Linked DNA regions of Mus musculus. The protein of the gene in region 2 interacts with the protein of the main gene of each other region in a pairwise test. Links are inferred from orthologs where the notes say so. Each region holds a gene or a part of one and is shown on either strand. Other genes may lie near its edges. The genes, in order: Lzts2, Gpank1, Ccdc184 and Trim23.

What was found.
Region 1: the proteins of Gpank1 (region 2) and Lzts2 interact in binary tests that used the Homo sapiens proteins (3 or more experiments, as listed by UniProt). The two-hybrid records come from large-scale screens. The link is inferred for Mus musculus from reciprocal best matches to the Homo sapiens genes GPANK1 and LZTS2.
Region 3: the proteins of Gpank1 (region 2) and Ccdc184 interact in binary tests that used the Homo sapiens proteins (3 or more experiments, as listed by UniProt). The two-hybrid records come from large-scale screens. The link is inferred for Mus musculus from reciprocal best matches to the Homo sapiens genes GPANK1 and CCDC184.
Region 4: the proteins of Gpank1 (region 2) and Trim23 interact in binary tests that used the Homo sapiens proteins (3 or more experiments, as listed by UniProt). The link is inferred for Mus musculus from reciprocal best matches to the Homo sapiens genes GPANK1 and TRIM23.

The regions. Positions count from the first base shown.
Region 1 is NC_000085.6:45,016,282-45,022,246, reverse strand, and holds the start of Lzts2 (leucine zipper putative tumor suppressor 2), read right to left. Parts: upstream 4,113-5,965; 5' UTR 4,017-4,112; intron 861-4,016; 5' UTR 819-860; coding exon 411-818; intron 410-410; exon of another isoform or gene 1-409. UniProt on the Homo sapiens protein: Negative regulator of katanin-mediated microtubule severing and release from the centrosome. Required for central spindle formation and the completion of cytokinesis.
Region 2 is NC_000083.6:35,120,446-35,126,031, reverse strand, and holds Gpank1 (G patch domain and ankyrin repeat-containing protein 1 isoform 1 precursor), read right to left. Parts: upstream 3,081-5,586; 5' UTR 3,047-3,080; coding exon 2,373-3,046; intron 1,813-2,372; coding exon 1,368-1,812; 3' UTR 1,217-1,367; downstream 1-1,216. Other genes in the region: Csnk2b (casein kinase II subunit beta), read left to right, coding at 5,516-5,586.
Region 3 is NC_000081.6:98,165,757-98,171,599, reverse strand, and holds Ccdc184 (coiled-coil domain-containing protein 184), read right to left. Parts: upstream 3,795-5,843; 5' UTR 3,285-3,794; coding exon 2,709-3,284; 3' UTR 1,466-2,708; downstream 1-1,465.
Region 4 is NC_000079.6:104,176,614-104,182,536, reverse strand, and holds the start of Trim23 (E3 ubiquitin-protein ligase TRIM23), read right to left. Parts: upstream 3,699-5,923; 5' UTR 3,657-3,698; coding exon 3,576-3,656; intron 1,464-3,575; coding exon 1,301-1,463; intron 1-1,300. Other genes in the region: Trappc13 (trafficking protein particle complex subunit 13), read left to right, coding at 4,378-4,423.

The DNA.
Region 1 (5,965 bases), on a different chromosome or scaffold from region 2:
CTGGAGGTGGTAACAAATGCCTTTAATCCTAGCCCTCGGGAGGCAGAAGCAAGCAGATCTCTGTGAGTTCGAGGCCAGCCTGGTCTGCACAGTGAGTTCCAGGACAGCCAAGGCTACAGAGAGAAACCATGTCTCAAAAAACAAAATAAAACTAACTCAGACAATTACTATATTGTTCATTTGAGGTTGCTGGGTACTTTACTATGTATTAATTCTAACAGGAACCTACAAAGATTAGCCTCTAACCGTAACCATAAAGACACAGAAAACGGGGCTCAGACAGGTTATTTCACTGTCTGAGTGGTAAGACAGAACCCATATTCTTTGCTCTACTGACGCTTCCAAATTCTAGCTTCCCTGAGGGGCTCCTGGCTTCCCACCCAGGTCCTCCCAAAAGGGCTGCCCGTTACCTTCTCCAGCTTTCCAGAGACAGGGATGAGCTTTGGTGGGGGCCCACGGAGGTGGGCATTGTGTGCCTGATGTTCCCGGGGATCTTCAACATCACTGCTGGGGCTGGGAGGAGACTCTGTCCGGAAGTCCTCATTGACATAGGTAAAGCTATTGCCTGGGACAGCCTTCCTCGGTGGCACAGCCGGGCAGAGCGGTTCCTGTGCCTCGTAGCCACCCGGTAGCAGCCCATCCTGCTGGCGGAAGAAGGTGGGCCCAGGGACACCATGATGTCGTTGAGGAGCAGGTCCCCCGGGGCAGGGCCGGCCTGAGATAAGACTGCTCACGCTGCCCATTGCTGGAGTTTTGGGGGCAGTGGCTGTCTCACGTGCGGGCTCCAGAGGCACTGGCAGAGTGTGCACAATGGCCATGGTGGCAGAGGCTCAGGTCTGGCCAGGGGCCTCCGGGGCAACCTGTGAGCAGGGCATTGGTGTCAGAGTCCCTGCACCTTGAGGATCCTCCCCCTATAAGCCTTCTCCTGACCCCCTCCTCCAGATAGAACATTCCCCATTTAGGAAAAAGGCTTCCCTTCCAAGAACTGGCATGAACCTCGAGTTCCTCTGGGCCTCAACTCTAGTCTGGAACAAGGCTAAGGAATAACTTGACCACACAGAGAGGAAGGAATGGGAGATCTAAACATTTATACAGGGTTCCTTGGCAGAGAAGACCTAGTTTAAGCCCCAACCTGTATCCCCTATATAGCCAAAGACTCAGATTGGGCAGAGATCCCTAACTCTAGCTCCCAGTACAGGTCCCTACTCTCCTGGGACAGGTGGCCTCATTACTGGGCTGTTTGGGCAGAGGACACGTCAGGGATGCAATCAGCAACTCAGATGGTAATTAGGGAACAAAGAGTCAAAGCCAGGCGCTGTCCAGCCTCCCACCACTGGGCCTCAGTTTCTCCCAGACACTCAGGCGGCTTCGAGGGTGGAGCTGGCCAAACAGGAAACCTTACAGGTCTTAGGAATCCACAGGTGCCCTCTGGGGTCTCTCCTACCTCCCAGAGGTTGATGCAGGCTGTGCTTGTTTCCATGTCACTCTTAGCTTCTGCCATCACTCGGGACTAAGGGAGCCTACCCAGGCCCTGTCCCACTGCCAACCTTTATAAACCTTCCTGCTTTAGTTGATCTTCAGAATAACCCCTATGGAATTTGAGCAGGAGCCCATTACCACGTCTAGTAGGAGCTCAAGTAAGATGGCTGGCTCCGCCTCCCCTAGTCTTACTCCTTCCTGGAAAGAACAGCAAGCCTGCACCCAGAACGGAACTCCCGCCCAGTCCCAAGGCTGCCGATGACCAAGACTTAGGCATCTGCTGAAGTCATCACAGAGCAAAGGGGCCAAAAAGTGGACTGAGGATCCATGAGAAAGAAGAATGTGTGTGTGTGTGTATGTGTGTGTGTGTGTATGTGTGTGTGTGTGTACATTTACTTGTGGGTGTGAGTACATAGACAGGGTCATAAAAAAATGAACAGTATCTGTGAGAATATGCATGAAACTGTGCAGTCCATGTGGGTTTAGACAGATGTCAGTACGTTCATACATGTGTGTATATGTGTGTGTGTGATGTAGGGGACATGACAAAACCAAACAGGGTTGTGCTATGTACCATAGGTGGGCCTCAAACTCAGATCCTCCTGCCTCAGAGAGCTGGGATTCTAACCTTGTGCAAATATGCCGAGCTGTATGTGTGGTTTTTTTTGTTTTTGGTTTTGGTTTTGGTTTTTCGAGACAGGTTCTCTCTGTATAGCCCTGGCTATCCTGGAACTCACTCTGTAGACCAGGCTGGCCCTGAAATCAGAAATCGGCCTGCTTCTGCCTCTGCTTCTAAAGTGCTGGGATTAAAGGTGTGCGCCACCACTGCCCACTGTGAATTCTTTTTTGCTGTTTTGTTTGTTTTTTGTTTGTTTGTTTTTCCAAGACAGGGTTTCTCTGTGTAGCCCTGGCTGCCCTGGAACTTGCTCTGTAGAGCAGGCTGGCCTTGAATTCAGAGATCCACCTCTTACTGCCTTCTGAGGGCTGGAATTAAAGGCGTGTGTGTTACCACCACCAGGCTGTATGTGTGAATTCTTATGTTTTACAAAGTTATGAGTTTCGTAACTTAGAAAGCACACCACACAGTTATTAATGTGTATAAAACAAATGAATCTGTGGGCTCTGGATGTCACTATATGGCAAAAAGAGAAATGTTTGGATAGATATACCAGTTTGTGCACACATATGTGAGGTTTGTGTAAATACCACTAAATCTTCCAGTCACCTATCCTCAGTAAGCCATTCTGCTTCTTCTCCTAGCATGAAATTCTAGGGAAAATCCTCCTTTCTTTGGGTCCATTGAGTCAAGTCTCTCATAGACTGAGACACACAAATCTCTACAGGACGCCTGCAGTTCTCCTGGGACAGTTACATGGATTCCTACTGTACACAAGAAAAGTGTGTGAAAGCTCCCCAGGACCAATCTGTATAAGTGAGCGTTCTGGGAGTGCATGAGGACCTGGGTGACATTCAAAGCCACCAATGTGAATGGGGACTCCTCCTCCCTAAAACTTTTTTTTAACTTAAGAGTTTGAGGAAAGGTGAGATCACAGTGCCTGACGCCCTTGCCCCATCTTATCTTTGTATATTGTTCTCCACTAAGTGCCTCTAAGTGTTAAGACCAGAGACTCACAGGAGTCCAGCGTGAGGAAGGAGTTGCTAAGAGCTAGGGTAGGAACTGAAGTGTAGCAACTTCTCTGTAGGGTAGGTACTGAGATCGCCCCCAAAAGGTCCAGCCTAGGGATGGAGACTGCTCCACAGTATAGTGAGGAGTGAGAAGGGGCTGGCACTCCTGTCCCTACTCCAGAGGACACAGAAAGTGAGACCCAGAAGGAAGGGCAAGGGCCGGGGTAGACACTCAGAGAGACAGGAGCCAGAAGACAGAAGAGACAAAGGCCAAGAGGCTCAGACACGAGGAGCCAGAGGCAGACCCATGAGTTAGGGTCGCTGAAGCTACACAGGCAAGGACCCCTAAAGCCAGAGGAGCCACAGAGCTGAGCTCTGAGGGCCAGGCGTCAGGAAAGCCAGGCCTAGCCAGCCTGGCTCCCGCTTTTGAGGCCCAAGAGAGAAGGAGGGGCAAGCGGCTCCATTTTGAGAAATGCGTTTGTAGCTGTGGGAAAAAGAAAGCCCTGGTTCTCCCCAGCACTCCCTGACCTATCACTATGGTACACAGACCCCTGCGCCCCCACCCCAGCAAGTAAGCTGGGGGTTCTAGAGTCTGGGGCCGCGCCAGGGCCTGAGATGAGTCTGGCCCACGTCCCAACTCTCTGACCTCAGGGCTGGGGTTGGAGAGTTGGGGAAAGTCCCCCCAAACACACACACTCAAACTCCAGAGACCAGTCAAGCAGGATCCAGTCTGGGATCACGAGTTGCCATTCCGAGACTGAAAGCCCAGAGTCGTCGTGTCCCCCCACCCCCCCCCCCGCCACCCACAATAGTCCGCTCCTTCCATAAACTGGGGGCGTCTATGGAATGCCACCTCCCCACCGGACCGCATCGCTTAGAAGTTGGGGCACCCTCAGCCCTGGACCCCTCACCTCCGCCGCGCTGCTCCATGCTCAGCCCCGGGCCGCCCCAGCACTCCACAGGCGCGCCGCCCGCTCCAGCCCGCGCGCGGCCACTCGGAGCTGCCCGGCTCGGCCCCGCCTCCGCCCAGCCGGCGCCCCCGGCCCTGACCGGCCCCCGCCCGGCCCGAGTGGGCGGTGCGCACTGATGGGGGGAGGGGTCCGAGGGGCGTTCCCGCCCCGGGGAGCGGACACGCGCAAGTAACCCACGTCACGCGTGCCAGCCAGGGCGCACGCGGGGGCTGCTCGGCGGCGCTCGGGATTCCTCCCAGAGTGGCCTAGCAACTGTGTGTGTGTGTGTGTGTTGTGTGTGTGTGTGTGTGTGTGTGTGTGTGTGTGTGTGTGTGTGTGTGTGTGTGTGTGTGTGTGTTAAGTGTGGTGTGTGTGTGTGCTCGGTAGCGCTCGGGATTCCTCCCAGAGTGGCCTAGCGACTCTGTGTGTGTGTGTGTGTGTGTGTGTGTGTGTGTGTGTGTGTGTGTGTGTTAGGAGGCTCGGCCGGCTCGAGACTCATCGAGCCGGGTCACCATCGCCTATCCCTGCCGGAGCCCAAGGGCCAGCGGCAGCTGGTCATTGTTCCAGCACAAAGAGCCAAGGCGCGGCGCCAGCCCCGCCCCTCCCCCTCCGCTCCTCTAGGAGAAGCTTCCCTCCTCAGTCTCCAGCTTCCCGGTCCATGGGGAGGCCGAGGGGGTCAGCCATCCCTCTCCAGTTGCCGGCTCCTGGGCACAAGTTGAGGGACTGGCTCGGTCGCTGTCTGTCCCACCCCCAGCAGGCTGGAGGTCACACGCTTGGATTTTCCAAATCGGCGCCACCTGGTGGCCCTTTCCAGCAACTTACCAGCCCCCCCCCCCCAAGACCCCCACCAATCCCACTCCCTTTCCAGCACAGCACCCTCGGGCCGCGAGCCCAGGCTTGTCCCTGGCATGGCTCCAGCCTCCCTAGCCGAACCTCGGGGGTCATTTGCTATGAGAAGGGTCGCTGCTCAAAGGGGGTGGGAGGGATACCTGACCCCCAATAATCTCAAGAACGAACAGCTCAAACCTACACTGGCTCCGCAGCAGACATCCCAAAGTCTCTCTTGGGGTCACAAATATTTTTACCCTCTCGAAAACAACAGTCTTAACACCCACACGACCTTTCCCACATTCAGTCTCGGGCAGCCACAGTCAGTCTCATCCATCACGTGGCTCCATAGATCTTCATTCCATAATCCTTCAGGCCAACTCACAGAAGGCTTGGTGTTTCGTGCACGGGAGAGTGCACAACAGTCCTTTGCATCCAGTCACATTCTTTAAATACACTCAGCCTCCCAACCCTCTTCCACGCAATGACAGCCGGATTCAGCCACTCTGGAAACTTCTTACATCATATTCACAAACTACCCACTTTCCCTGAGGGGTCTCTGTGACCTGCTCAGGTCAGCCGACCTCACATGTTCTGGCAAGGCCATCCTCCCTTCCCCGATCCCCCCCGCCCCCCCCCCCAAGGTCTGCCAGAGCTGGGCTCAGCCCCAGGAAGAAGCACCCCCCCCCCTTCCAGGCCACAGCCTGGCCGGCTCTCAGCTCTATTTTTAGCTCCATGGAAAGGGTTGTTTTTCTTTCTTTTTCCCTGGAAAGGAAAACACAGCCTAGCCACCCTCAGGCTCACTCCAGCCCCTCAGCTTCACAAGAACATACCGAACCCCTCTCCCTAACAGAAACCCCCTCCTCTGGCCTTGCCCTGATCCCTGCCTCCTGGGGCACCGAGAACCTCCTCCCCTTTCTGGCCTCCAGCCCAGAAGCTCAGGCAGCAGCTGGGCTCAGCATGTGGCCGGGTGAGGGGTGGGGGGAATGAAGGATGGGGGCCGGAGGGGGAAGAGGCTGCAGCCCCCTCTTTCACTTTCAGAGAGGGGACTCTGATCTTTCTTCCACCTAGAGGAGACACAC
Region 2 (5,586 bases):
TGATTAAAGGCACGCTGCACCACTGCCCAGCTTTGTTTTTAAGGACAGGTCCCCTATATATGTAGCTTAGATCCATATATATATATATATATATATATATAGCTCAGGATATATATAGCTCAGGAAAGGCTTGGACATATGTTGCCCAGACTGCCTTTGAGTCGATCCTCTTGCCACTGCTTCCCTGTGTGACGATTCCAGCCTCTCTGTGGTTCTTTCTCACAACCCCCGCCATTCCTCCATTTCTCACCTGAGATATCTTGTAATGCTGGTCCAGAAAGGTAAATAACAGGAGCCACGTGATTTAAGCAGCCGCCCTTTGGCCTTCCAGACTGGGATTTGAAAGCTTTCATGTTCCTAGCACTCTGTATAAGCATCTCAAGGGATTGGGGGTGCCAAGTACGTAAGAGAAGTGTAGAAAAGCATATTGCCTGGTTTTCAGGGAGTGAAATGATCTCTTAGGACTGCCTTAAGCCTTGGAATCCTAACTCAGTAAGCAGGTATGAAGCCCTAGGTTAAGCCCCATGTAGCACTCCAGAACCAGTTTTAGCTGAGTTTGATGCCAGCCTGGTCTACACATAGTGAGAGACTGTGTCTCAAAAAACAAAAAGAAAAAAAGTTCATCTTGAACTTTTTATCTGGGAGGTCAGAGCTCTGGTCACAGCTAGAATGTCACACAGGTTGGATGACATTAGTTGTATTGGCCAATCCTGCAGGACTCTACTTCCTCTCTGGGGACTTTTAACTTCCCTACCACAAGGTATTACACTTCATCACAGCTGGCTTCCTCAAGTTCAAGGTTTGTATCAGGCAGAGCAGAGCAAAGTATCTTTGGCTTTTCTCCCAATGTCAGCAGCATCTTTTGGATGCATCTTGTCTTGGAGAGGGGCCCCACCCAGGGTCTTCCCAGTGTTAGGCAGGTGCTCTAACCAAGCTATGCCCGCCCCTCTCCAACACATAGCACACTTGGTTTGTGATACTTGTCACTGACTTGACTGGCCTAGACACATACTCAGAGGGGTGTTTTACAAAGTGGGGCAATTCCTAATGTGTGTGTGGGGGCGGGGATTCAAGGAGCAGGTAGAATGCAGCCAGCAGGACTGGGGACTCTCTTTTGTCACCCGGAGAGCTTGTCCTTTTGGCTCAGGTGAGACTTCTATGTGACTCTCAGATTTGTTCCAATTCCCTACTATATCATTCAAGAAAGTAAACAAACCACAAGGAAGGAAGTTTATTTATCTCCCAACTCTCCGCCCTTCTCTCTAAAATCAGAGCCCAACAGCTAAGGCCTAAGGGTTCGGAAGTCCAAGTGTCCAAGTCAGAGGCCCAAGTCCAGCGAGTGACAGACCAGGGCCAGTCCATATCAGTCAGAACTCGAGGTTCATGTACAGTCTTAGATCTCGCTCCCAGGCTCTGCCCTTTTCTTCTTGCCTTCTGTTCTCCCTCTGACTCAGTGTGGCAACTCGAGGGACTCTCTCTCTCCCAGACACAGCCCGGGTATCCCGCGCTGCAAAGTGTGTGACTCGGGGTTGGGGTGGGGATCTATAACCCAATCCTTCCTGGTCCCTCTTGAGGATAGTGGGGATAGGGTTGGCACGGCCTTCACCCCGGGGTCCTAGCCCCATTCCTGGTTCCCAGCCACCTCTCAGCAGTAGCCTGAAGCCAGGACTGGAAGTGGGCACCCCAAGGGGAAGGTTGGAGGGCTGGGGTCTCCTGGACAGTGACAGCAGGTGAGCAGTAGATGTGTGGTGGTTGGAGTCTTCAAAGTGGGCACCACAGTCCTCACAGAACTGGGACGAGGAGGGGGTAGATCTGCAGAGAAAGAAATATGTTATAGGGGAGGAAAAAAAAAGATGAACAGAGCCTCAAGTTGTTCAGGCACCAGGCAGAGCAGAGCAAAGTACTTTTTGCCTTTCTCCCAATGTCAGCAGCATCTTTTGGTTGTATCTTGTCTTGGAAAGGGGCCCCAGGGTCTTCCCAGTAGGGAATATTTGGAATACTGTCAGGTAGGCCTCAAGCTCTCAGGAATAATGAGTAGTGCTGGCATTTATAAAGTGCAAACTGTGTGACAAGCACCATCCCATCCTACCCCATCTCTTTCCACATTAACCTACTGTATCTTAACACCCCTTTGAGGAAAAAGTCTTAGCCCCAATTCTCAGACAAGGACTGAGATTTGCAGACTTTAGGCTGGCACTGCAAATAAATGGAACCAAGATTCAAATGCACAAAGACCACGCCCATTGTTACTCTATGACTGAATATGCCAGAGGATGAATAGCCCCCTTTAGCTGCTGTGGGCCCTTAGTATGAGGTGCCCAGGAAAGGAAGAACACAATAAAGATGGGTGTAAGTGAAGGCTCCCTCCTCACCGGTTCTGGTTCTCAGGGCTCCTTGTCTCTCCATGACTCTCTCTGACCATACGGGCTACCTCAGGGAAGCCTGCTTCTTCAGCCAGCTGGGCAGCATCTCTGCCTCCCAGGTCACAGACTCCAACCCAGGCAGCTCCTCGGCCCAGGAGATAGCGCACAGCGGCGCCCTGGCCTGCTCGGGCAGCACACATCAAGGGAGTCCACCAGAAGGCATCACGAGCATTGATATTCCCTCCAGCTCCCCCTGCCTCTTGGGGTTCTAGCAGCCTCCGGAGTTCTGTCAGATCCCCATTCTGGGCTGCCAGCAGGATCCACTGGGCCATCCTGTCTTCATCCTCAAGTGCTCTTCCTTGTCTGGGGACTCCTGCTGCTGCAGGCTCCCTAGTCACTCTTCTTCTCTTCTTCTTCCTCTCCCTCATAGGTTCAGCTCTCTGGGGCTTAGAGGAACTACTGTCATCTGCGATTAGAGCCTCATAGAAAGCCCGGGCAGCAGCCCCGTCCAGGACAGGCTCTGCTTTCTCCTGCTGTGGTTGCTGCTGCCCATCCTTCCAGAGGTCACTGGAGTCAGCCGCTGGGGTAAATTCGATGAAGGATGGCCTAGACATGCCTGTGAGAGAAACAAGAAAATGAAGACTGGGCAAGGCAAGGATGTGACAAGCAAGCGATCCAACCATTCAGGTAGCTATTGTGAAGATGACCAGCACCACCTCTGGGGGCCCGCTGAGATGGGAAAGCAGCCTAGAACTAAAATGGGCCTCCCATCCCAAAACTGACTTCATAGTTAGGATTCTGTGGAGCCCGGGCCTCATGGGTAAAAGGGACCCCAGGAATAACAACAGATCCTGTCACGATGGGATGGGTAAAACAGACCCCAGGAACAACAGATCCTGTCATGATGTTAATAAAATTTCATGAGGGCATAGTAGATATGAATCTGTGTAGAATGCTTGTTTCAAATTTGAGAATTCTAGATTCTATCAATAACACAGAAAAGAAAAAGGGTAACAGGAAAAAAATATTCTACAAGACAGTTGTTAATGGGTTCTGTATTCAACTCCCATCTTCCTACAAACAAAAATGCCAGGCTCTCTCTGAAAACATTCCGCTAACACATACAGGAAATATAAGGTCGACACCCCCCCCCCTTTTTTTTTCGAGACAGGGTTTCTCTGTATAGCCCTGGCTGTCCTGGAACTCACTCTGTAGACCAGACTGGCCTCGATCTCAGAAATCTGCCAGCTTCTGCCTCCCAAGTGCTGGGATTAAAGGCGTGCGCCACCACTGGCCCGCACAGGTCGACCTTTTAAATCTTGCTCGATCTTATCTAGGGGTCCCCTTTTCCCAGATTAAAAACAGGCATGACATTACTCCGGGAGGTTTCTGGGGAAGCTGCATTGTCACTTCTGTACCGCAAAATGTCGCTCTTGTAATCTGTAAGATTGGATACAATCAAATAGCCACAGGGCAGAACGAGGCATGCGCAGGAGCAACAACAACAAAACATCCATAAGGTTCAAGTTTCCCGCGCTAGAACCTTTTCTAGCATCCTCGTAGTAAAGCATCGCGTGCCCAGTAGCGCGAGGACCCAAGGGGGAGCCTGTCGGTTGGGGTCCTGCTTTTACATAACGCCCCCACAATGCCCTTCGCCACCCTCCGCGTTCAGAAAGACTCTGAGGACACAGTGGGGAGACCTGTGGGATGCCGAGGAGCTGTGAGATGAAGTAACATCACGGTTACCCCTCACCACTGCTCTGAGCAGGGTTTGAAGAACAGTCAGGGTCATCAGCACAACTCTCTACCCCAGCTCTGAGGAGATGGAGAAGTACAAAGGGACAAGCGGCGGCAGAATGGCTGGCCCCACCTCAGGTTAGCTCGCAGGGCGGTCCAGGTTCTCACGCAGCGTGCACAGCTCAGCGCATCCCAAGCACACCCGACCTAAGTCCCTCACCACAACTCTGCGCATGCCGGAGCCCGAGCGCACTCTGTCGCGGGCCTGGCGAGAGAACCAGGATCCCGTGGGTTGGCCTGGCACAGGGAAGAGGGAGAAAAAAAAGCAAAGCGGAACGCTGAGGGAGCACCGCAGGGATGACAATCAGCCCGAGGACCTACCCGGCAGCTTAGCGAGCCTAACAAGACTATATTTCCCAGGCTTCCTGGTCGGGAAGACCCCCTGCTCCGCTTCCGCTTCCGGTGGCGCCTCGGTTCGCCCCGCCCCCAGGCGGCTTCCTCTAGGGCCTCGCGGCCCTTAGAGAGTCATGCGCGGGTCCTCTTGGGATTGGTAGTTTGTCTTCCCCTCATTTCGTCAGTTTCTCTCTGCCGACGGGACTACATCTCCCGGCGTCCACGGAGGTAGGGGGCGGTTCTTAGCGCCTGCGCGTTGCCCTTTTCTCACCCAAATCCTCACCAGTTTCCAGTGGCCCCCCCCCTCCCTACTTCGTCTGCTGCGGCCGGGTCGGCTTTTTGCGCTGTAGTGGTCTCTGCGGTTCCTTGGAAGCACAGCTCCCCTTCCCCGCCCCAGTCCCAGTCCCCGTCCGGCCGGTGAGTGTGGGGTTGTCCCCGCGTCGAGTCGCCCGTCCCTGGGCGCGGCACTCTGGTTGGAGCTCCTCGATGTGGGGGCGACGAAGGAAGTGACCGGGTCGGTAGCCGAAGGAGGTCGGGGGCCCTGGGCGAGAGGAGGCGGCTTTTGGGGACGCTCGTGAGACCCACAGAAGTGTGGTGCCTTCGCCAACCCTGCGAGTGCAGGAGAGGCCGGCTCTGTTGGGGAAAATGAACTTCGGAAGCCTTGGGACAGGCGCCAGGAACATGCAGGCACCTGCGGTGGTGGGGAGCCGGAGCCGAGGGCCCTGTCGCGGCTGACATGGAGGGGAGAGGGGCCTGGCTTTGAGGAGCGCCAGGGACGAGGGTCACACTAACAGATCAGGACCTGTCATTTTCTGGAAAGTAGCGAAACTTATTGCCAGCACACTGCAAGGGGGCTGAGGTGAAGGAGAGAAGCTTGGAGATGCTTCAGAGGCCGGGATCCTTCAAGCCTGGCTGGACTCAGATTCTTCCGTTGTTGTGGAGAATGTGTGGGAGGAGGGAAGAGACAAGAAACAGCTTGGTCTCCACTTACTTAACGCTCTTCTTTCACAGCGGACATAAAGATGAGTAGCTCTGAGGAGGTGTCCTGGATTTCCTGGTTCTGTGGGCTCCGTGGTAATGAATTCTTCTGTGA
Region 3 (5,843 bases), on a different chromosome or scaffold from region 2:
TGAATACAGGGTTAGTCCACAGCCTTTATGGCTTGTCTCTACTTCTTAAAATGAAAAGGTCCATGCTATCTTAAGACGCTAACCATGCCCTTTTCCTTAATTCTGTCCTCAAGGGTAAGGGTTCTTTATGTAGGAAAAGATTACATTAAAGGAGTTTACTCAAGAGGCAAAAGCAGATGGATCTCTGTGTGTCAGAGGCCAGTCTGTTCTACATAGTAAGCTCCAGGCTATCCAGACTATGTGGTGAGACCCCGTCTAAAGAAGAACAAGAGGGAAAAAGGAGGGATGGCACAAAGTTGACCTGCAAAATAAAAGCTGGAGAAACGTCTTGATTATAAACATGTGCCACTCTCCCGGGGGACTTGAGTGTCCTCAACACCATGTCCATCAGCTCCCACCTGCCTGAATCCCAGTTTGTCACCCAAGGACTGTATACCTCAAGGCTTCCTCTGGTGTCGTCCCAAACAGTTCTCTCCTGGCTTTTCTGTGGGCACCGTTTGTGCACGTGCGTACACAGAGGCACAAATGCACAGGTACATCAGTAATAAGCATTTAAAACCCGGGGTGGGGAGTTGTCTCTAGACCTTCCCTGGGTTCTGCTTCGCTGGAGGAGTCATCCCCACTCTACCTGGCCAGGAGAACCACCGAGAAGCTAACATTTGCACAAGATGTCCTAGGAGTCATAGTTTTATTCCTAGCATATGCATTGTGAAGAGCAAGTCTTAGGCAGTCAACTCAGTGTTGGAATTAAAAACTCAAACCTGCATCAAACCCTTCAGTGTCCTTTAGCCTTCTCTGTAACAGAAGTAATTTACATCTCTCTCTCTCACTCACACACACACACACACACACACACACACACACACACACACACACACACATCATAGTCGGCTCTCAACCTTTGTTCTGGGGCAGCCTCAGGAAATCTCCATCTCCCGAGGGAGCAGCCTCGAGATGATGTCAGTGTTGACTCCCCGGGGAGTACCTTGCCCACATCTTCCACTAGAGGCCTGAGGCAGTGCCTGTGGTTTCCTTAGTGATGTGTCACTCCACTCCAGAAACCCCGGGCAACCCCTCCAGAACAGTGACTCCCACTCCATCCCTAGAACAGGTGGCATGCCTGCTGTACCAGGGCTCTCACTCAGAAGTCACCCCCATGGCTTGCTTCACTGAAATCTCTTGCAGGTGTGGAGTGCTGGCTACCAAAACCCTTGTTAGCCGGGCCGGGTATTTCCAGGCAGATCTCTGCATTTTCCAGGTCCACATTGGATCAAGGTCCAGGGCAGAAGGGAAAGCAGACAGAGCTGGCAAGCTTGTCCCAACCAGGACAAAGTCAGTTAACTCTTTGGGACTGGAGGCAAGAAGAGAGGAGGGAAGGCATTGGTCCCCTACATTTTCTCCTAAGCCCTGATCCACACAGCAGACCCAGAAGCCCCAGCCTTAAACCCACTTAGTACCAGTCAGCAAGAGGGGAGATGGTGCCTTTTTATTAAGGTTGACATCAAGCAAAGCACTAAGAAAGGATACACAGAGGAGGGAAGGGGCACACACAGTCACCACTTCGGAAGGTAGGAGCACATCAGTTAAGGACACTCAGGACAGCCACATGCTCCGTGCCCTGGGTTGAGGAGTGGGGCATAAAAGGGAAAAGAGCAGAAAGCGCCATGATAGCCTGGGGCTTGCAGACGGGTCTGAAGCCCCCTGAACCTAATACTAGAGCCACAAGCCCTGCCCCTGAGGGCTCACACACTACTACACAAGTGGACACACATAACACAAGACATTATGGAGGCAACACCAGAAAGCAGAGGGTACCGACATATTGACAGGAAAAAAAAAATAATAAAAGGAACTGAAGTTAAGCAGGTATAGCCAGAAAAGACAGCTTGGGGCTGCAGCGCCCCCTCCCCCAAGAGTTCCTCAGATGTCCCCTTAAATCTGGACAGTTGCTGAGCAGTCCTAAGTCTCTGCCTGCGACCTGAGCACTTTGTTCTCTAGGCCCAGGTGAGTGGCCAAGCAATCCCAGGTGAAGTCAGCGACGGGGCAGGCTCGGCTCTGCATGCTCAGTGCCAGAGCTTGAGCTCTTGTGTCTTCATGCACATCAGAGCCAGCTCCTCCCAGCCTAGGGGCCCTGGGAACCCGAGTACCCTGACTCCTAGGGCCGCAGTTCCCTCCTCAAGCTTCCTTTACCCATCAGCAGTTGCAGAGCGATCTGTAAGGGGGAGAGGTTTCCGCAGAGCACTGAATATCTTGGGTTTGGGGAAAAGGGTAAATTTCCTGTTGCCAGAACAGAATACCCCAACTCCTTAATTTCTAGGTAAATAGAGATTATTTGCCAAAGTCCTAGATGACTCCTTTTTCAGAATAGAAAAAGCAGAATTTTATTTACATAATTCAATGGTCCTCCTGTTTCCTAGGAAGAGGGGAAGGGGGCAAGGTAAAGGGATAGATGAGAGTCCAGAGATGGGCACGTCCTTTCTGGGAACCTCACCTTTCTGCAGTTTGCTATGATGCCTGCTTGGGTGGAATTCGCGATGCTTCCAAAGTCCTTGACTCTACAAATCCTTCTGTGAGGGAGTCTCTCTCCCTGACCTATAAGGACCACGTTTGAAGTGAAGAACACTGCACCGCACTGTTCAGTCCCCTCGGGTTAAGCACTTGGAAACCCAAAGCCAGCGCGGGTAGTTGGTTCCCTGGTGGGGTCTCCCTCACAGAGAGGCCTCGCCCTCCAGCTGCAGCAGGGTAATGTCAGGAAGGTCGGGGGGCTCCACAAGTGGCCCATCCTCCCCAAGGAGACCGGGGCTCTCAGAGAGCTCGCAGTGACTGGTGGGTGTGGCGGGGTTAGGTGTCTCTTTCTCCTCTTCGTCCTCGTCTTCATCAGGATCACGACCCAGCAAGCCGCTGTCCTCGATCCCAGGCGAAGGTGTCTCTGGTTCATGGGGAACACTTGGGAAGCTCCCCTTGCCGCCGGCCACGCCCAAGCCTCCCTGGCGGGGCGCAGTGGTCATAATCTGGCACATGGAGACTATAGCCCGCTGGTTGGCGCACACGTCGTCCGACAGAACCTGGATGTGCGAGGCCTGCTCGTCCAGTGCCCCTCGCATGGCCCTCACGTCCTCAAACAGGGCCTGCAGCTGGGCCTTCAGGTGCTCCATCAGTTCCTTCATACCGCCGTTATACTCCCCAGAGATCACGTCCCCCACGGCGGGCACCGTGGACACCTCCAGAGGCGCTGGCATGTCGCCGCCGTCCTTGGTCATGATCTCCAGCAGACTGTCCTCCATTGAGTGGCAGAAGCGGGCGGTGGCAGCTCTGGGTCGTGTCCAGCGGGCCTCCAGGGTGGGGGAAGGGTGTGGAGGGGGAGAGGTCCCGGGAGGGACGGGGTGGAGCCCAGGGACACCTAGGCTCCCTAGAGGGGCGGGGAGCCTACGTGAAGAGAGCGGCCCCAGGCAGAGGACACGGGCGGGATCAAGGAGGGCTGAGAAGAGTCTATGGATCGAAGACCTGTCTAGGGTCCCGGGACCAGGATCTTCGGGCTTACCCAGGGGGCAAAAGTGGCTTGCCCGCTCGCCTCCAGTGTGGTACCTATGTCCCCGCCGCCCTCCCGGCAATCACCGACAAAGAGTGCTCACAGGTCACAGAGGCGCTCGCAGAGGGCTCGGGGTCGAGACGGGGACCCGCAGCGCGTCAGTCTCGGGACTCCCCCCAGCCATCCACCAGCAGTGCCCGCGAGTGCGGCTGGAGAGGCAGGGGCGGGTCTCCCGGCGGCGCCGCGGATGCTCCCCCGTTTCCAAGGCGACGCACGGCACGTAAATGACGTGTGTCTCCATGGCAACGAGGAAGTGAGGAAGAAAGAGAACAGGGTTCCGAAGCTGCAGTGAAGCTCTGTTGTATGGGCTGACGGGCGGGGCAGGGATGCTGCAGTAGCCTCAGAGAAGCTGCAAAGAGCATGTGGCTGCAATGTTTAATAGGACAGCATGAGAAAGCAGTTTGCTGCACGACCCCCACCCCCAAGCCGGAGAGAGACCGTCTGCCTGGGGGGGGGGGGGGGGCTTTTCACCCGCTCTCCGCATTCCTTCCTTGGAGGACCATGGGAGAGCCAGGTCCATCCTCCAGCGGCCCACAGGACTGGGTAGCGATTGTTAATAATCCCAGGCGAGCTGGCAGCACCAGGCTTGGAGGTGCAGAGGAAGGCGGAGGGAGGCGCGACCGATCTGCTTCTCCCTTCTGCAGCAAAAAAAAAAAAAAAAAAAAAAAAAAAAAAAAAAAAAAAACAAAAAACAATTTTCCCTCCCTCCAGAAAGCTCAGGGTGAGATACAGTCTCTTATGGGACCCAGCTGTTTCTACCCAGGTTGGGGGGGTATGAAAATTATGAAGCTAAGTACTTAAATTCCGAGAATGAAAACTCCATAACAACAGATTCCCCTCCCCTGCACCCTCCATCACGGAATCCCCAGCGCTTTAAATAGCGTCCGAGACGCAGAGAGCAGATGATGTATTTGTGGAATAGCTACTTAAATAAGAGCCACCAAGTACCATTCTCCTCCCCAGGATTCTCCAGCCCACACATAGTGGACTTCAGAAGACCTGAATACAATTTCCTTTCAGCCCTTAATGACTGAGAGACCTCAGCTGACATCGTTTTCTTGACGGACCGAATAATAGTGTTTCTAAATCTGAGTTAACACTGGACCGAAGTGCAATTGAGTGAATTATTAGGGCCAGCGCCCCTAGTTCCCATCTTTAGATGCCCACTAACCACCCCTGTCCTTTGTGAAAACTCCTTCCCCTACTTAGAGGGTAGAGCAGGAGAAGAGGAGGAGGAAGAAAATTTGGTTATAATATATTTAGAGACGACATAGGCTGGGAAGGTAGTCATCTTGTAGGCTATAACACGCTGACATCGCTTTGATAAAAGGAAGCCAAGTGGTCAAAACCCTGAGTTTACAAGACTCTGGGAAGGAGAAGTAAATGAACAGTGCTGTCTAACTGTATAAAAAATTAAGTGTGGGTGAGTGTCATTGGTCACCTGTAGTTCAGTAACTGCAAGTGTGTTTTTTAATTTCCCTGGTTGTATGTCTTGGCGATGAAGAGTGTCCAGCCAGGTTTTTGAGGCACCAAAGAACAGATTCATCTATGCCTGTCTTACTGCTACTGTTAAAATAAAAGCAAATTAAACTATCTTAAAGTGCCCAGGGTCGGAATGTTTACATAAATAACTTAAGACATATATTGGACAGATGTGAGAAATTTGATTTCCCCAAAACAAAGATGAACACACACACACACCATGCAGTATTGCTTTCTAAAAACTAATGATTAATCTTGTTTCCTTGCTCCTTCAACAAATTTGTTGTTGCTCTTGCCTCTGCCATTCTTGCCATACATGGTCAATAAACTTTAGATGATCCCTAAGCTGGCTCATGAAAGAGCAGAACACTTTTTCTTGGTATCCCTCGGCACAGAGAGTTATACTTTGACTCTCACAGGCTCACCATAACACACATGCACTCGTGTGCAAATGTCTGCTGTTTGTTTTGTTTTCAAACTACAGGAGAACTAGAAACAGAGGCAAGATGCAGCTGAGCTTACCCAGTATGACATCTAATCACGATGTAGCAAAGGTTCTCAGAGCTTTGCAGGACCAGTCCTGCTGTCGTCCCTCCCATGGGAACCTTACTATAGTAAGAAAAGACTGGCATGTTCTGCAGTCTTTCTGCCATGGGCCATTCCTCCCCATCTCTTCTGTGGCACCTCGCATGAAGAATTCTATCTTGATGGTTCTCTTCCAGAGTGCTCCCTGCCTTCTACCCTTGAAGACCGATCCTGTTCTCAGTGAAAT
Region 4 (5,923 bases), on a different chromosome or scaffold from region 2:
CAGCTGAGAAAGCTCTGTTCCTCACGATGCATGCTGAGGAACACTGAGCATCCACTCATGTAGACCACCTCACTGTTGCAAAAAGGAAGATTTACCTCAGATCATCGTCAATCTTAAAGACCATTATCTGAAAATTGACAGTTTCCACTGCTATTACTTTATGGCTTATAGTACATTAATATTATCTGTGTAATATCATTAGTGTTTTTCATTAGCTTTCTAGGAAATAAAGACAGCCACAACCTTAAGAAAACATGTCAAAGCCATGTTTCTTAGTATTTTAAAACCTAAAATAGAGACACCCTTGCTTTCTTCTATAGATAGATAAATTATTCAATTTTTGACATATAGTATGACTCCACTAATCTTTTACAAGTTTATGCTATTTTCTATGTGTGGATGTGTGTGCACACACATATATAAGGTGCAACAGAGCAAGTATGGAGGTCAGGAGTCGGTTCACTCCTTCCACGAGCCCTGGTCTTAAGTACTGATAAACACCTGAGGGGAAAAAAGTCAGCCTTAAAAAATTTTGGGAAAAATTCTTTTATCTTACAGAATAAATTAAGAATTTACATTAAACTGTGAAATAACTGTTCAAATGTTAATGTTGTACTTTCTAAACCTGAGCCAGTGAGATAGATCTTTGGATAAAGGCATCTTCTGCCAACCTAACTGGATTTGGGTAAACCCACACACACACACTTTTACATTTAAAATATGTCAACACTGATTCCCAAGTAGTTGTAAAAACATGCAAGGACCTAGGAGGCCATGGTGGTGCACACCTCTAATTCAGGACTGGGGAGCTAGAGGCAGACAGATCTCAGTCAAGGCCAGTCTGATCCACAAACCAAGTTTCAGGACAGCCAGGGCTACACAGAGAAACCCTATCTCGACGAAAGGAAGGAAGAGAAAAAAGGAAGGAAGGAGTGAGGGAGGGAGGAAATACTGAGAGTTGAATGACTTTATATTTTGATTACCTTTCATTTAAAAAAAGAAACCATGTTCTGTATTCAGAGCATTAGTAGGACTTAACCTGGGATGAATAAAGTAGTCTCATTTCTTTGAATAAGGGTAGCATATATTTCTGATACTTCTTAAAGCTTTTTGTGTTAAGCATAGCTATGGAAGTTTCAGATTCCCATGGCAGTTAAGAGTGGACCTCATCTACCTTAGTAGAGACTCAGATTGTGAAAGCTCTTTGGAACGTAACATAAAAAGTCAGGTGTAAAAATTTGTTTTCTGTGACATTTGTGTTTGAATAATTTTTCACTTTAACCTCATATAATTTTCCTACCTAGGTCTGTTACTTGTCGATCAAATGGGCAACGTATTGCTCTTCCATGCAGAGGCAAGCGAGTAAGACAGTCATGACAGACTGTGTGGCCACAGAGGAGGAGGCGAGGAACTTTATCTCCTTGCAAAGAGAAGACATCTTCACAAACCCCACACTCCAGAACCTGTATATAAAACAGAAACATGTGCCCTGTAAACACTACTGAAACAATATTCACATATTTTAGATTTAAAAACAATTGACCAAGCCAGGCATGTTTCTTAGTATTTTAAAACCTAAAATAGAGACACCCTTGCTTTCTTCTATAGATAGATAAATTATTCAATTTTTGACATATAGTATGACTCCATTAATCTTTTACAAGTTTATGCTATTTTCTATGTGTGGATGTGTGTGCACACACATATATAAGGTGCCACAGAACAAGTATGGAGGTCAGAAGACAACTTGATTCTCTAATACATTTAGACTTAGAAACTGAGATACAAATTTCTTTTACTACAATTAAACTGGTAATTTGTAGTTACCTCACATACTGGTAATAATTCAAAAGAAACTTAAATGTGGTATAATTCATAGGGAAAAAAAAGAGATAAATACCTGCTAAATGTTAAAGAAAACTTTATATTAAGATTTCAGTCTAACTCATTAGAGAACAAAGAATAACTACATCAAGATATTTTTTTCAAAAAGTTGTTAAAGTTTTGTATTAATAGAAGTATAGGAAAACAATTTCACTGACTAATACAAAAAGTCTATTGACTAATAATAGCATTCATGGACACAATTTAGCAGTACTTATGGAACTTACTCTAAACTGCGTCATACATACATGACAGGATCCAAGTGCTTTCTTCTTTGTTGCTATTGCTGTTTCTGCCACTGGGAAATCTCAGGTTCCTGCACATAGCAGGTAAATGGTCTACTAGTGAATAACATCCAGCCCACATATGACAAAACCAGTGTGTAACTCTTTAAAGCACTATTTGTATCATTAATTAAAAACAAGGAAAGATACATATAAATACTAAATTGAAAGGGAAATTATAGTGCATTCATATGCCATAACTACAACCGTTATGTTTTTCATGTACATATGCAGAATACTTTATGAGTAAAGTAAAACGAAGTGTTAAGGAGAATTAGACATGATATTCCAATTATAGGAAAAGAATGACAAAATATTCTGCAAGTATTCCCATTTGGCAAAAACACAATTCAAAATATTAAATCTCAATAAGCACAAAATATGCTTAATGAGGGCTTCTCTAAATTTCATTAATATAAAAAGTTAACTGATTCAACACCAATAAAATACGACTGATAATACATCGTAGGCATATATTCCTCAAAAGCAGACCTTTGCTATAGAGAGAGACAGAGACAGAAAGAGATATCTACCATTTAACGAGTTAAAAGAATGTCCAACCAGACTTGGGTTCACTGTTATAAATCCAAGTGTCCATTAAAATTACTTCTGGGAATTAAAAAAATGTCCTGTCGTCAACACACTCAGAAAGAGTTGTTGTTTAATCTCTTGGCAACAGATAATCTTTCCGAGTGACTCCCTAAAACGCCTGCCCCTTTTAGATCTAGGTTACAGTGGGTGAGGAAAATGATCTTCACACTTGCACTTAATTTTTAGTAAATGTAGCTCGTAAATAAGTAGACGGTAGAATCTTCTAACCAGAGAGTTATAAACTCCATACATCTAGTGTTAAAGCCCAAATGTGCTGCAGTTGGAGAGTTCAGAAGTTTCCAGTCTCTACTGTTCAGGGCAATGTTGAATGGCAGACGTTGACAACCAGTAAACTCTGAGCCCTTAGCACATACTGTATTAACTTAAACCTAGGGTTCCTCCCATGTAAAATGCGATTTAACATCTACCTTTTAAGTAGATATTTGCGAGCTGAACCATCTACGACAGTACTTGTCTATTGCAATAAGTGTTTAATACAACCAAGTCAAGTAAGTAACGCCTGTTGAGGCATCACTAGAAACAGAAGACTAGGGGAAAGACCAAATAAATCCAGGTCAACTTTCACGCGATGCTTTTCACAAACAGCCCCACGGACAACGTTGACACTTGAGGTAGAAGACCAGGCAACTTCAGCTCCGCGGGGCAAGGACCGCGGAAGGGCGGAAAGGCTTGTAACGCCCACCAGAGGCCGCGCATCCCACCCGGCCAAGCCTGGGCCACACAGTCGCGGCCAGGTCTCCAGGACGAACCGAAGGGAGGCCGCAGGTGGAGAACAGAGCACGCAAGTTCCCTCACCTTCACCACAGCCGTCCCCCGGCTGCCCTGCCGCCCACTGTCTACTCCGGCTCCGGGCTTGTTTACAGCGAGGGCAGCCATCCTGGATGGAGCCGCGCCACAGCTGCAGGAGAGCCTTTTACTGAGAGGAGGGGTTGAGCGTCCTACCCAGAAGCCTCGGCGCATGCCGCCCTCACGCATGCGCAGGATAGATGGCGAGCCGTTCGGTCCCTTCTGACCTTTTCTCTCCCGTCAGTCATTGGCTGTACGGCTTGCGCGTGCGCACTGTTTTTCATGAAAGCATCTGCGAGTAATGGAGAGGAGAAATTTTTTTTTTTTAAGTATGGAACATAAATAAAATTTTATGGTGAAAATGACATTCCTGTAACAATATTTTTTCTCTAGAACTGAAACGAATCAGAATAAAGGACTGAGCTACATGCCACCTGCCCCGCGTACACTGCGAAATTTGTATATGATGAACTACAAATCCCAGCATGCCATGACAGTAGCGCCCTCCCCCACCCCCACCGGGCAATGAAAGCTTTTGGGAAGCCGCGAATTGTCAGCAAGAAGTGGATCGTTGTAGTCAGCCTTAGTGGTTGAGGCAAGTGTGTGCTTCTGAGCTAAGGAATGGCCATGGTACAAAGATTTCACTGGGGCCGTAAAGGATTTAGTGACAAGAGAATTTAAGTCCTCACGAGCAGAAAGAAGTCGGGCGTGCGTTTGAAGCCCGATCTTCCGGGACCTGTGCTTTGCACTTTCCTTCCAGACCCGGTGAAACTTCAGCCTGCGTAGGCTGAGGTCAGAAGTGCCCGCCAAGATGGAAGTGAATCCCCCCAAACAGGAGCACCTGCTGGCGCTAAAAGGTAAACTTGCTAACCTGAGACTCCTCACTCTGTTGTTTGCCTGTACCCTCATTGTGCGAAGGATCCCCGAAGTAGGCCTTGTCCCTAACCCCGGCAACTCGCCTTCCTGCTCTTCCTGGAATGAAATGCGAACCCAAGCTCTGAGAGGTCTCTGCTACCGCAGCCACCACGTTTTGTCCACTGAAGCTCACGCGCCTCGACCCTGCCGCAGAGATCTCTGTGAACCAGCATAAATTTCAGCTGGCATTTGATATGTTTTTTTCAAAAATTGCTCCTAAATCTGTCCATGGCGCAGGGATGAAGTTACCAGAATTTAACTTATCTGTAGATAGTGTAGCACGATAATACCAAGGATTTGAAATAAGTGGAACTACACCTAATACTTCTTAGATTTGTTGAAATATACTACAAATTAATTCATACTGTAGTATCATGTTTGTGGGAAAATTGACTAGACTATCTTAACAACTTTAACTGTCTATACGCAGAAGTTTTGAATACGTTTTAATGATTTAATTTGATCAGAAAAAAAAAGATAAGAGGTCAGATTTTCCTTGAATTTGCTTATCGATAACCTTTTATTTAAAAACATTTTCAGCCTCTTTTTTATGTTTGCTACTGCCACAATGCACTTTCTTGCTTTTGGGATGTGCATTTATAAAGTTAACAGTGACTTCAACTGATAGGGAGAAATGGTTACAAGACATTTAAACTAGATTGAATTGCACTTAACCTTCTTTAAGGCATCCCTTTTGATATACTCCACATTCCTCCCTCATTCTCTGTGAGCTCCATACACATCTTGCATTCCAGAAGCTCGCCAGTTCCATTCCTAACCTACAATCCTGTTTTGATGTCTGCAGTTAATATGACTGTCTATGAATGTGGAACTAAGAAGGTTTGCAATATTTATCAATACAACAATGAGACCTGTAGACTTCCACACGATCTAGACTAAAATAGATTATATGTGTTTGAAAGGAACTTACTGGATATTCATTATCTCCGTCTTACATCTAGTGTGTGGGCTTAAAAGATAACTTATCTTTTAAGGTCTAGCAGCTTTTCCAAGATAACATGTCTAGTAAGAGATCAGGGCAATAATTCAAAAATCATCTTTCTAAGGTATTGTTGCCTCCTAGAAAATGAAACAGCTCTTTCATGGATCGTTATGATTTCTATATGAACTTAAAACAATTATATGAGCTGCTAAGTGTGATTTCACACAACTTAGAAGCTACCAAAAATCTCAGTGGTAGGGAGTTGTATTTGTTATTATTCTTCATTTGTAGAAAGAGAAGACACTTAGTGACTTGACCTTAAACTCTCAGTGTGGCTGAGAATGACCAAGTGTCCCCGGCCCCCTCGCCTCCACCTTCCAGATGCTCAGATCACAGATGAGCACCATTATACCCAGTTTATGGTATGCTGGGATTTGAACCCAGGGCTTTGTGCATGCTAGGCAAGCACTCTACTGACTGAGCTACATCCTCACTCCCT